Linked DNA regions of Oryzias latipes. The protein of the gene in region 2 purifies or fractionates together with the protein of the main gene of each other region. This does not show direct contact. Links are inferred from orthologs where the notes say so. Each region holds a gene or a part of one and is shown on either strand. Other genes may lie near its edges. The genes, in order: cdk19, ccnc and med9.

What was found.
Region 1: the proteins of ccnc (region 2) and cdk19 purify together in Homo sapiens (affinity purification with mass spectrometry; 8 studies listed by BioGRID and IntAct, counting the BioPlex papers as one, with this or other methods). This does not show direct contact. The link is inferred for Oryzias latipes from reciprocal best matches to the Homo sapiens genes CCNC and CDK19.
Region 3: the proteins of ccnc (region 2) and med9 purify together in Homo sapiens (affinity purification with mass spectrometry; 4 studies listed by BioGRID and IntAct, counting the BioPlex papers as one, with this or other methods). This does not show direct contact. The link is inferred for Oryzias latipes from reciprocal best matches to the Homo sapiens genes CCNC and MED9.

What each region holds. Positions count from the first base shown.
Region 1 is NC_019882.2:10,351,827-10,355,933, reverse strand, and holds the start of cdk19 (cyclin-dependent kinase 19), read right to left. Parts: upstream 2,940-4,107; 5' UTR 2,667-2,939; coding exon 2,664-2,666; exon of another isoform or gene 2,590-2,663; coding exon 2,444-2,589; intron 1-2,443. Other genes in the region: amd1 (S-adenosylmethionine decarboxylase proenzyme), read left to right, coding at 3,943-4,064.
Region 2 is NC_019882.2:15,128,117-15,132,551, forward strand, and holds the start of ccnc (cyclin-C), read right to left. Parts: upstream 2,856-4,435; 5' UTR 2,730-2,855; coding exon 2,698-2,729; intron 2,366-2,697; coding exon 2,259-2,365; intron 2,118-2,258; coding exon 2,033-2,117; intron 1,567-2,032; coding exon 1,497-1,566; intron 1,360-1,496; coding exon 1,308-1,359; intron 1,211-1,307; coding exon 1,155-1,210; intron 463-1,154; coding exon 427-462; intron 349-426; coding exon 257-348; intron 170-256; coding exon 102-169; intron 12-101; coding exon 1-11. Other genes in the region: glial fibrillary acidic protein, read left to right, coding at 3,828-4,021, 4,101-4,266. UniProt on the Homo sapiens protein: Component of the Mediator complex, a coactivator involved in regulated gene transcription of nearly all RNA polymerase II-dependent genes.
Region 3 is NC_019866.2:10,875,051-10,877,743, reverse strand, and holds med9 (mediator of RNA polymerase II transcription subunit 9), read right to left. Parts: upstream 1,391-2,693; 5' UTR 1,339-1,390; coding exon 1,259-1,338; intron 1,064-1,258; coding exon 844-1,063; 3' UTR 639-843; downstream 1-638.

The DNA.
Region 1 (4,107 bases), about 4.8 Mb from region 2:
TTGGAGTGCTTTATTAACTCTGTACAAGTTGTTTTTCATTGACCGTACCGGCAGATGAGCCAGAGTCACAATGGAGTGTTGTGAAACTCATCGTGTAGGTATGTGGCTGAATCAGCAGCGCTGATCTGACCATCCCAGATGACGAAAAAAACTCAAACCCAGTCAAGACGTCCAGTTCCATACCACTTTCATCCTACATGTAAACATTTAAGGCTGCTTTCACACTTCACACAGTGTCTCCCCAAAGAAAGTCTGGGAAGGAAAGCGAAGCGTGAACAATAAAACAAGTTTGACCTCCTGATCCATTTAAAAGAACCTCCAGCTCATCAACACAATGGACGATCCACTGAAACAAACCCCATTCCAAGAATCGTCCAATGTTCCCTTCGTCCCTATGAAAACATGAATATACAGAGATTCTGAATCAACTCAAGCAGTAGGTCCCACAAGGAGTATTTCAGAACCTAACCGTAGGGTTCTGTCTTTTGTTTTCCATGGTTGAAAAAGGAAGAAAGAGACAACATTTGGATTTCAAAACAGGAGATTTTTTTAACTGGAGCTTTTATTGTTTTTATCGTTGACCGGTTTCTGAACTTTACAGGGTAAGATCAATATCTACTTGATTTATAAAATATGTGTGTGTTACAAACATTCACAGCTGTTTTATGAAACAGAACAATAATTCTTGTGACCCTTCTGTCGTCATGGGAACCAGAGATGACTCTTTAGCCACAACATCTGATAAGGTCAGTCTGCTTTCAAGGTTGTGAGCTTTTCTTGACGGTATGACATTCTGAGGCCCAAACGGTCCTTTTGTGTCCACCTCACGCATCCATCCATCATCCAAATCTGCTGAATACCTGTTGGGGTAATGGGGTTACTAGGGCCCATCCCAGCTGCTATTGGGCGAATTGGCCCATTGACTGCACATGACAACTGGACTGGGTAATCCCTCTCCCATCACATTCTAAATAGGAAGTACCTGCTGGTTCCTAGCAGCCCAAATCCCACAGACTTCTATTGAATAATAAACAGATATTACTCAGTCGTTCTATAGGTCCGAATAAACATTCTAGCTCTGCTACCCTTTTTAACATGTTCTTGCTAATCCTAATTTATTTTCCCATATTTTTTCTGTAGTGCAAGCTATTCACATTAATGACCAATCTGATGCCTCAATAAAAGTATGTGGTCTAACACGGAACGTTTGAAGCGTTTCATTGACAGATTCTCCTAGGCACGCTTTCAGTTGATAAAGGTGTGGACTTTCAACAAGTTCACTCCTGATTAGCGAAAGTTGTTGCCATAGAAACATTTACTCAGATCAATCACTGCTTACCAACATAGCAACATGCATATTGCAAAAAAAAAAAAGGCAACTGAATTGACTTCATTTAGTGGAACCAGAAGCAAGCCATTTTGTATGGGTGATGTCGGTCCAGTTCTCATTTACAGACAAGATCTGGACAGATCACCAGTCTGTCACAGGACCACACAACGAGACAAACTCACATCTAGGGACAATTTTGAGTCACCAATTAACCCTTGATTGTATTTTTGGACTGTGGGAGGAAAGATGAGTTCCTGGAAGAAACCCACACACACACAAGAAAAACATGCAAATTTCATACAAAAAGGTCCCAGCCAGGATTCATACCAGGAACTGCACGCCAAGAGTGCTAACCATGCAGCCCTATCAAGCTGCAGAAAAAAAAGTTCAAAATACAAAACAGCATAAAGTTCTAACAAATCTGTACCGATTTCCTACAAAACTGCAAATTTTAAAAGCAACATCATGAAGATCACCTCTGACTGACCACAGACTGATGAACTCCACCTTCAAACAAAAACCCACAGCTTCTGTTTTAAACTCCGAGCCTTCATGCCTGCTGTTTCAAAGTCCCACAGAGGGTCTATGAAACAGCAGTCATGGGAGCATCTGAGTCTTCCTCCTGCTCCTTTGATCTAACAACAAAGGTGTTGCTGGAGGTACACACGTGACAAACTATTACTAAAGTTTGACGTCTCTACTAGAGCCAAAGCTGCTGCCTAAAAAAGCCGCGAGGCGCAACGCGGTCACGTCGACCTGCGTCCGCGTGAACTCCCCCCCCCCCCCCCTCGATAAAAAAAACAACAACAACAGCCGCGTTGTTTTAACATTTCGTCTGGGACTTAGTTTAGAGGGGGGGGGGGTATTCGCGCGCATTTGTATGTTATGTGTATGTGTGAATGAGTGTAATCGTGGGGAGGGGGCGTTGGTGGGTGAGTGAGTGAGTGCGCGCGTGCGTTCCATGAAAACAAAAACACAGAGGTTTTTGCCTTGGTGGGTTTCGAACCTACCGAGCCGCGCGGCCCGTTAGTGAGATCTGAGACCGCGAGCAGCAGCGAGCGGTCGATATGAGACTTCGGAACAAAACAAGAACGTTCACGGTTATCTTCTTACCCGTCTTTGCGCTTAGCTTTATAAACGTGCCCGTAGGTGCCTCGACCCACTTTGCAACCTTCATATTCGAAAAGATCTTCCACTCTCTCCCTCTCCGCTGCCAGCTTTGTTTTGAAGTCGTAATCCATTTCAACCCATAAATACGTCTTAATTTACAAAAAAATAAAATATTAATTATTACATGCATTCATTAAATAATCTGGTCGTTTTATTCCCCCACCATTTCCTTGTTTGGGATTTTGGTCTGCTCCGCTTAATGTTCACTGGCTCGTTGACGTTTCTAATTGGCGCGTGTTGCCAGATGGGTAGTGTAGTTCCAATGGGACGTTGACACCATTGAGGAAACAGTAAAGAGAAGGAAAATAAACTACTACCCGCGTTTCTTGATGCGGTTTGTTGCACTTTGCGTACTAAAGAACTTTCTTCAAAAATGTTCCTCTGCTGTTTGACTTTATGGAAATTTTTGTCTGAAACATCAGCCATTAATTGAAAATATTATTTCCTTAAAACTTGTTTTACCACTAATAGTAGTTGCAGTATTCATTTTAATAAGAGAAAAAAGATTTTAAAAAGTATTAATTATGATGTAATAATTATTTGATTATAAATACTGTTGTTGTTAAAATCTAACTTTCTCCGTAAGTAAAAAAAAAATTATCAAAATTATTGTTGTTAAAATCTAACTTTCTCAGTGAGTAAAAAAAACCTGTTTAAAGAAACTACTATAATGAAAACAACTGTATGTATATCTCTTAACAAAGCAAATGCATACTAATTTTTATATTGCATTTATACGTTATAGCCTATGTGATCATAATTTTACTGGATAAAGGATTCAAATGAGGGGGGAACCTCAAATATTTTGACCTGTTACTATTGTTTTCTATAAAAGATAGAGTAGATACTGTCTTTTCATTATTTTTTTTTTTATATTCGTGGAGAAAATTAATCTTTGAGCTCCAAAATTGTAAGTAAATGTATTTATGTATTTGCTTGTATATTTAAAAAAAAACAATCAATCATCCACCCAAGTAAATTAGTACAAAATAAGTATTGATAGAAAAAAGACAGCTTTTTAATTATACTTTAGACTTTTACAAGTTTTCTTTAGACCTAAACAAGTTTAAAGAATAAACGAACGTGTCTATTACGTCACAGTGTTTGAGTCATGAGTGACAGATCCCTGGACCAATCATAAAGGAGTAAATAAAACCTCACCAGGAGAGTGGCTCAGCGCACCGCTGACGTAACGGCGTCGTTGTATAAAATCACCGCGCGCCGCTTCCTCAGTGCTCTACACAGTATGGCCGGCGATATTAGCTAGCGCTCGCTTACGTTGTTCTCTGCTACAGGGAAGACGGTAACTCAAGACAAGCAAACAACCAGATTGTTAAAATACTGTACCTCAATAAGTTAAAGCGAACCAAGGAACGACCATTTTAAGCTGTAAACCATACTACCAAGGTTTGACAGACTATTGAGGTGTCTGTTGTCTCATCATGATGATGGAGGATCAGGATAACGGTGCACATTTCTTCGAGGGGACCGAGAAGCTGCTGGAGGTCTGGTTCTGCCGCCAGGATGACACTAAGGGCACCGGGGACCTCCGCTCTATCCCAAGGTTTGTCTTCTCCGTCAGTCAGTGGTTTGGTCGTTAGCCTCCG
Region 2 (4,435 bases):
ATGTAGGCAAGCTGATGGAGGAACAGAAGCAGTAATTAATCCATCTTTTTGAAATGTGAGTTAAACTGCTCTACTTTCAAAACCTAAGAGGCATTTCTTACCTAAAGCTATCATGAAGGGAGGGTAGAGCAGACACAGATCTGTCCTGTACGTGTCGTTCACTATTCGCCTGGTAAAGGCAGAAAACAATGCAAAGCCTTCCAGCGGAAAAATAAGCTAACATCAATGGGTTTTGTTCAAACGAGGCAGAACGTACCATGCTAAGGGCAGCAGCATGTCCTCCTGCCCCATGTCCTGCACATACTGCAGCAGAGGTCTGTAGGGGTGGTACACAATCAGGCAGCAGTCCTGAAAAATTAAGCCAATCAAGGATCAATTCTTCTCTCTATGAAACAACTCATCCTTTTTATCTAGATTTCCACCCACCATTAGCTCCAAAAGGTAAAACTCACATTCTAGAATCTGGGGGGAAAAAAAAGAGGTTTAGAATTATTTCAAAAAGACATTTAATCATGTTTTCACTTTGAAAATGCCCCCCAAAATTTGTGAATTCATTTTTATTTATTAAGTCTCGTCATCAGACTGGCCTTTGACCTCCTGCTGTACAGATGATGACTTTGTTTGCTTTTAACAGCTTCGCACTTCATCATTGTCACACTTTTACTAAGTGTCCAATGTCCACAAGATGAATGATGTTTACGAGTCACGGCCCTCTGCTACCTCAATCTCTGCCGTCTGAACCCCCCCCCCTCCGTAATTTATAGCTTATATAGCATTACGTCAGAGCCGTCTTGTTCTGGAAACTCTGGAGATCTGCGAGGCAAAAGCATTGAGCAGCAAGCCCCCTGACTGACTTTTTTTTTGTCAGCAGAGTGTGAACATTAGCTGAGGAATCTAACGCACTGATAGGCAGTAATGTGGCAACACTGTGATACAGTCTGAAGGCTTCTCGGTAAGCTGCAATGCAGCACATAAATAACTTTGCAGAGGAAGCAGTTTGATGTGACCTCACCTTCTTGAAACTTAAACCAGTAAACCTTGATGGCATTTACTGTTTACCGTCACATTTCTGCATCGTCAGATTTGTTCATGATTCTTAACTTTTTCATAAAATCACAGACGTAATCGGATTACTTCCACTGTGTTTTACTCACATGATTCATTCTGTAAGGAAACTCCTTTGGAAAGGCATAAGAAAATCTTGTTTTTACTACAAAAAAACAGAAGAAAAAAAATTTGTGTTGCTGGAAACTCCAAATGAAAACAGGGAAAACTTAAATTTGAGATCCACAATGTGGGTCACTTACATACAGAGGTGGCGGCTGAGATCAATCTGGTGTTGGACACGACTCCAAATTCCTACAGGAAAATAAGCAATACAAAACAGATTATCGTGTGTACTAAAGAAGCAGTTAAAGACCCTAAAATGTGTCTCACTTATGATTAAAAATGAAATGTAACATGAAATGTTAAAGATGATTCCACCAAATTTATACCTCAACTTTAGAGGCCAGGAACACACAAGTGGGAGCCATGAGCACCGGATCTATACTCTTCAGAGAATACCTGCAAAATGACACAAGGTATTTAAATATTAAACAAACAGATCATGGAAAGAAATGCTGACGACGTCAAAAAGTAAGAGTAGCCAAAGATAATCATGGCTACATGGGTAGTAAGCACAGTATAGTTAAGGGAAAGAATTTAAAACAAAAGAGGAAAGTTTTTTTTTTGTTTTTTTTGCCTTCCTAACTGTTATGCTAATGTCAGCAAAAGTAAACATTCCTTTGTTTACTCATTGATACATCATGTCGACAGCCTTTTGTTACAGGGTTCAATAAACCAGACCAACTTATCCGCTCCCGGACACAAAAGCTGTTGATGCTCTGCAGAAATGAAACTGTCATCAACACTGATGTAATCTCATTAGGGCTGCCCAATATGTTCACACTTTACCCTCCATGAGCTGTCAGCACAAACGTGTAAAATACCAACAGCTTAACTTATGGAAAAAGCGTTTCGAGCTCCTTACCGGGCGTAGAAGCGCTTAAAGTACACAGTCGCAGTAGCAATGACCTGCTGGCGCAGCTTCAGATGTTCGCCCAGAGCTTGGATAACTGAAAAATACCAAATGAAAAACATTAGTTGAAGTGTGTGATTTAGGTTTTGTTCGTGACTATTCAAGATTTTCTCATGTTTTCAAACAGACCCGGAAACAGACCCAAAACCTGCATGAATGTATTAGAAAAAAAACTCACCATTTGCAAAGAAAATCTGAAGCTTCCAGTACTCCTCCTCCGAGAGAAACTTCAGGTCTTTCTGGCGCTCCTTTATGAGGTCCTGTTTGTCCAAGACCCACTGCAGACTTTAAAAGATAAGCAAGATTACTTTATATGATAAATTTATACAGACGTTTGAACGGGTCAAATTCACTTGACTAACAGTAACAAGCTCCTGACGTGACGGCAACAAAACACAACGAAAACAAGAACCATTGCTGGAGCTCAAAGGAAAGAAAGTCCACATTTTTAGTTACAGTGTGTTCCCCAAGTGTTATTTTTACACCACAATGCTATAAGTAAACTGTTAGCTTCAACGCAGAACAAAAATAGCAGCTAGCTAGGCCTCACAAGCGAAGCGGCTGATGATTACGACAAAAACACACACAACGTCGATATTATTTTAACAAAAACTCACTAATGAGAACTCTGCCAAAAGTTACCCGCCATCACTGCAGTTGAGGTAGAAATTTACAGAAAGGAAAATTGTGTTTTTTTTAACCAACAAAAGAGCGGAGACAGCGAGAAAAGTAATTAAAGTGGCAGAGCTGGTGTATCACGAATAACGTTCCGACGAGCCCAAAGATTGGTTCCGCAGTCTCCTGTAAATGTCGGGAAACACGATTACTTCAAAGAGGGTATACTCACATGTTTTGCATGATTAAAACATTTATAAAACTAATTGTTTAAGATGCCATTTACCATGTTTAGACGTTTAAAGTAGATGTGATGAGGCTAGTATATGAGGTTTTCAAGCAACAGAAGGGAAAAAGGAAATAAAGAAAGTGGTCAAATAAACATAGCATCCTTTATTTCAAAGGGTTCATTGATTATCTCCTAAACTCAATTGAATATTAAAGCATTTGGGTAACTAGAGCTTTTATACCATATTTGTTTGTGGTTAAGTCAACTACAAGTTGTTTTTTTTTTTAATTATTTTATTTTGGCTATAGTTATTCTACATTGTGTAAAGGGTTATACCTAATATAGTCTATTAATATTAAAAAAACAAAAAGCAGCAATTAAGGACTTTTGACTTTTAGCGATTTAGCGATCAGCGATTGCAGACATCTTTTCTTTGGTCTAAACAAATTACGTAGCCCTATAGAAAAACAGGAAATTGTATTCTATTGTATTTATTTAATTTCAATTAGCCTTTCGTGAAGTCAGTGGTGTTCTGTTTTTTCAAATGTTTTACTTGTTTTTATTGTAATTAAGACAACTAAAAATCAGTTTGTATTGTTCATTTTGCTTGTACTTAACATTTGAAAGTAATGTTTAATTCAGCTTTTACTTCAAAATTAATTAAGTCCTTCATCATTCGAAGCACAATGTTCTTTCAACAGCCTATAGGCCAAATTATTTGGCTTGTTGTTGATAGATGCCTGTGCAGGCATTCATACTTGGTATGGAAGGGTTCAGCATTTCACTGTAGTGTTAGGGGAAGGGCCAAGAAGTGTATAAAGACCCCACCTCCTCAGACTGACAGAAGAAGCAAAGGCTCCATTTCCAGTTTCCAACTACAGTTGCATCAACTTAAAAGCCACCATGAGCCGAAGCCCGGAGAGGATGTCTTCATACCGCCGTTGTTTTGAGGACAACATTGCCTCAACATCCCACCTCCGGGTTTCCAGTCCTTCTCCCACCAGGAGAGAGAACCGCCACCGCTCAGCCAGCTTCAACCGAAGTGGCGGGTGGAAGTTGGGGGGGCATAGAGCACTCACCAAGCAAAAACTGACAAGGTAGGTCATCACCTCAGCCAGCTACACAAAAAGCCCACAACACAAAGCCACTTACACCATTATTTTTGGGCTCCTGCAGCAGTTCAAGTATGGGGGTCCTTTGTGTAGGTTCATCCCTGGAACCGGGGAATAAGATGGATCTGGATGTGGCTGCAGCACAAAACCAGGCCTTCAAGTTGACACGCACCAATGAGAAGCAGGAGATGGTTGTTCTCAATGATCGTCTGACAGTTTATATTGAAAAGGCAAGATACAAAGATTTACAAGTCGAATATGCAGCTTTTGCTTGGCTGTCACGTTCACACTATGACAAACCTTAAAACCTTTTCTGTGTTTGGTGCTTACCTCTTGGGAATTTTGCTTATTTAAGAAAAGTATTAAAGCCCGGTGGCAACTGGGTAGGTCTTTCACTTT
Region 3 (2,693 bases), on a different chromosome or scaffold from region 2:
TTATGTCCTTGTCCACTTTTGCATAAAGAGAAAATAAAAAATAAAAAACTTGATACTTTCATAGTCTGTTCTCAGTCCCACTCTCCAATTTCTCGCATAAAACAAACACTTTAAGAATTATATATACGTTTTCATTCTGCTGTTCGAATGAAAATACATGTTTATAACACATCATTTATTGAGACATTCTGAAATTAAATGGACTTATATATAAAAAGAGCTAACAGCCTGAATAATTATTCATTAGGACTCCATTGTTTGCACAAATGATAACCATGGCACAATAACAGAGAAGGAAAACAATTAGACTAGGAGGCAGTGCAGCACATATAATTAGAGGCTATTTAGTAGATATCAACAGATGTAATATTTGGCCCATTAGAGACAATATCATTTATGATTAAAATCAAACTTTGTTTAGAGAAAAATGCTGATTCACATTAAATTAGATTTACTTTGCATGTTGTGAAAAGGAACTACATAAAGTTATGTGAAAGTGTGTGCCGTGGCAAATGCTTTCCTTTATTTAAAAACCTTTTAGATTCAGACTAAATGGTCTGCTCAATAAAGCATCAAAGCCCTTATACATTTATTATTAATAATAATAATAATAATAATAATAATGAAAACAAGTAAAACACTATAGCACGATTTAATTTATTAAAAATAGAGATTTACAACTTGAAATAATAACAGATACTTCAGAAACAGAGCAGATCATTCACACTGATGCAAACAAAAAAGAAAAACAAAAGTCCCATTTTTCATTTCAGGTTTTTTTTTAAATGGTAAACCGTAGAAATAAACGTCTTTGCTCAAGTCTCCAGTTTGTAGTCTGTTGTCTCACGACGCCTTAGGCACATCAAACATGCACAGTCCCTTGTACTTCTGCAGCAGCTGGTTCTTGGTGCGGACCTGCTCCCGCAGCGTGGCCAGCTGCTGCTGCTGCTCCGGCGGACTGCAGTCTATCCCAGACATGTTAGAGATCTGCTCCCGGGTTTCTTGGATCTTTGTTTTTAGTTTTGTCAGCTCCTGGTTGACATCCGGGCTGTCCTTATCCATGCTAAGCAGAAACATAAATAAATAAATAAATACATAAATAACAGACTTCTATTAAAGGCAAAACTGCACCCATGATGGGAAGCGTTCACGTCACTTCTCATATAGCAAACCGTAAATACCCCCAACGAGAGTTTACCGTGAACCATTTAGTAAATACCAACATATACGTAAACCCAGCACACAGGAAACAGCTTACCATTTGATAATGTCGTGAACTAAGGGCAGCAAAGAGCAGTCTTCGGTCTCCTTCACGAGCTTAGCCTGAGCTACCGCCATTGCTACTCCTTCTGCAACTGGCGCAGGCTGATGACGTCACAGGTTACTCCGAGAATCTCAACTGAAATCACAACTTTAAAAAAGTTCAATTGATGTTGAACAACAACAACAACAACAATGATTATAGATGAATGAGTGAATGATTGATTGAATGAATAAATGAATGAATGAATGAATGAATGAATACTCTAGTTATCAAAAGTATGAAAAAAATGATTACCTTGAGATGGTAAGTCATATAAGTCATGGTATGATTCCCAAACTATTAAAAAGTCTTGACACAAAACAAGAAATAACAAAGAAAAATTTGCTGTAATAAATTTCAAACACAAGAAAAAAGATCTAAAAGATTTGGGACTGATTTCTTTCTGATAAAGCCCTTGCAATTCTCGTGGCATGTCATCATTTTGCTCAGAATAGGTCCCAGACCTATTCCAAGGTTGCTCGGGCATCAAGTCCGGGTGCCTCCTGTACGCCTCTCTGGGGAGGTGTTGCGGGCATGTCCCACTATGCGGAGGCCCCGGGGAAGACCCAGGACACGCTGGAGAAACTACGTCTCTCGGCTGGCCTGGGAACACCTTGGGGTCCCTCCCAGAAGAGCTGGAGGAAGTAGCAGGGGCGAGGGAAGTCTGGGCATCTTTGCTTAGACTGCCCCCGTGACCCAGTCCCGGTAAAGCAGAGTAAGATGGATGGATGGATGGATGGAGGTCACAGACCATTTGTCAATGCACATAATAAACACATGACCTAGGACTTGGAATGACCTTGGCTACACGTCTTGCTACTTGGTAACCTGAAGTACTGACATCGAAAGTCAACACAAGACATGCTTGAGAACTGAAAAATGGGGAGCTGTGTAAACACTAGAGCTCATAGCAAGCACAAATATAGTCTCACGGTGCGTCACGCAATTTGTCTGTTTGGAAGATAAATGAAGTGTTTCATTCAGGTCGTGCATCTCTGTCTGGAAACCCTTTTTCCTTTTCTGTTTACACAGTGCGTCCTTGTTGATTGGGGATACAATATTTAGTATGTAGAAAATAAAACAAAATAATGAAAAGCTTACTTCCTGGTTATTTTCTAAAGCCCTGTTTGGCAATACATTAGGCAACACGGAGAATTAAAATGGCTAATTTGCTCAATTCTTTGTTAGTACAAGTGACTACACGATTATGCATGTGTAGCAATGACGATTCTCCTGTTTGATGTTGAATTATGTGTTTTATTTTTAAATGTATTCTTTTTAGCCCAAATAACTCATGTTTACATCCATTTCACATGAAATCAAGTTTGACCTCTTGATGCAGCGAACATCCCATGAGTTCATTACTCACACCTGGTGAACACAGAAAGGG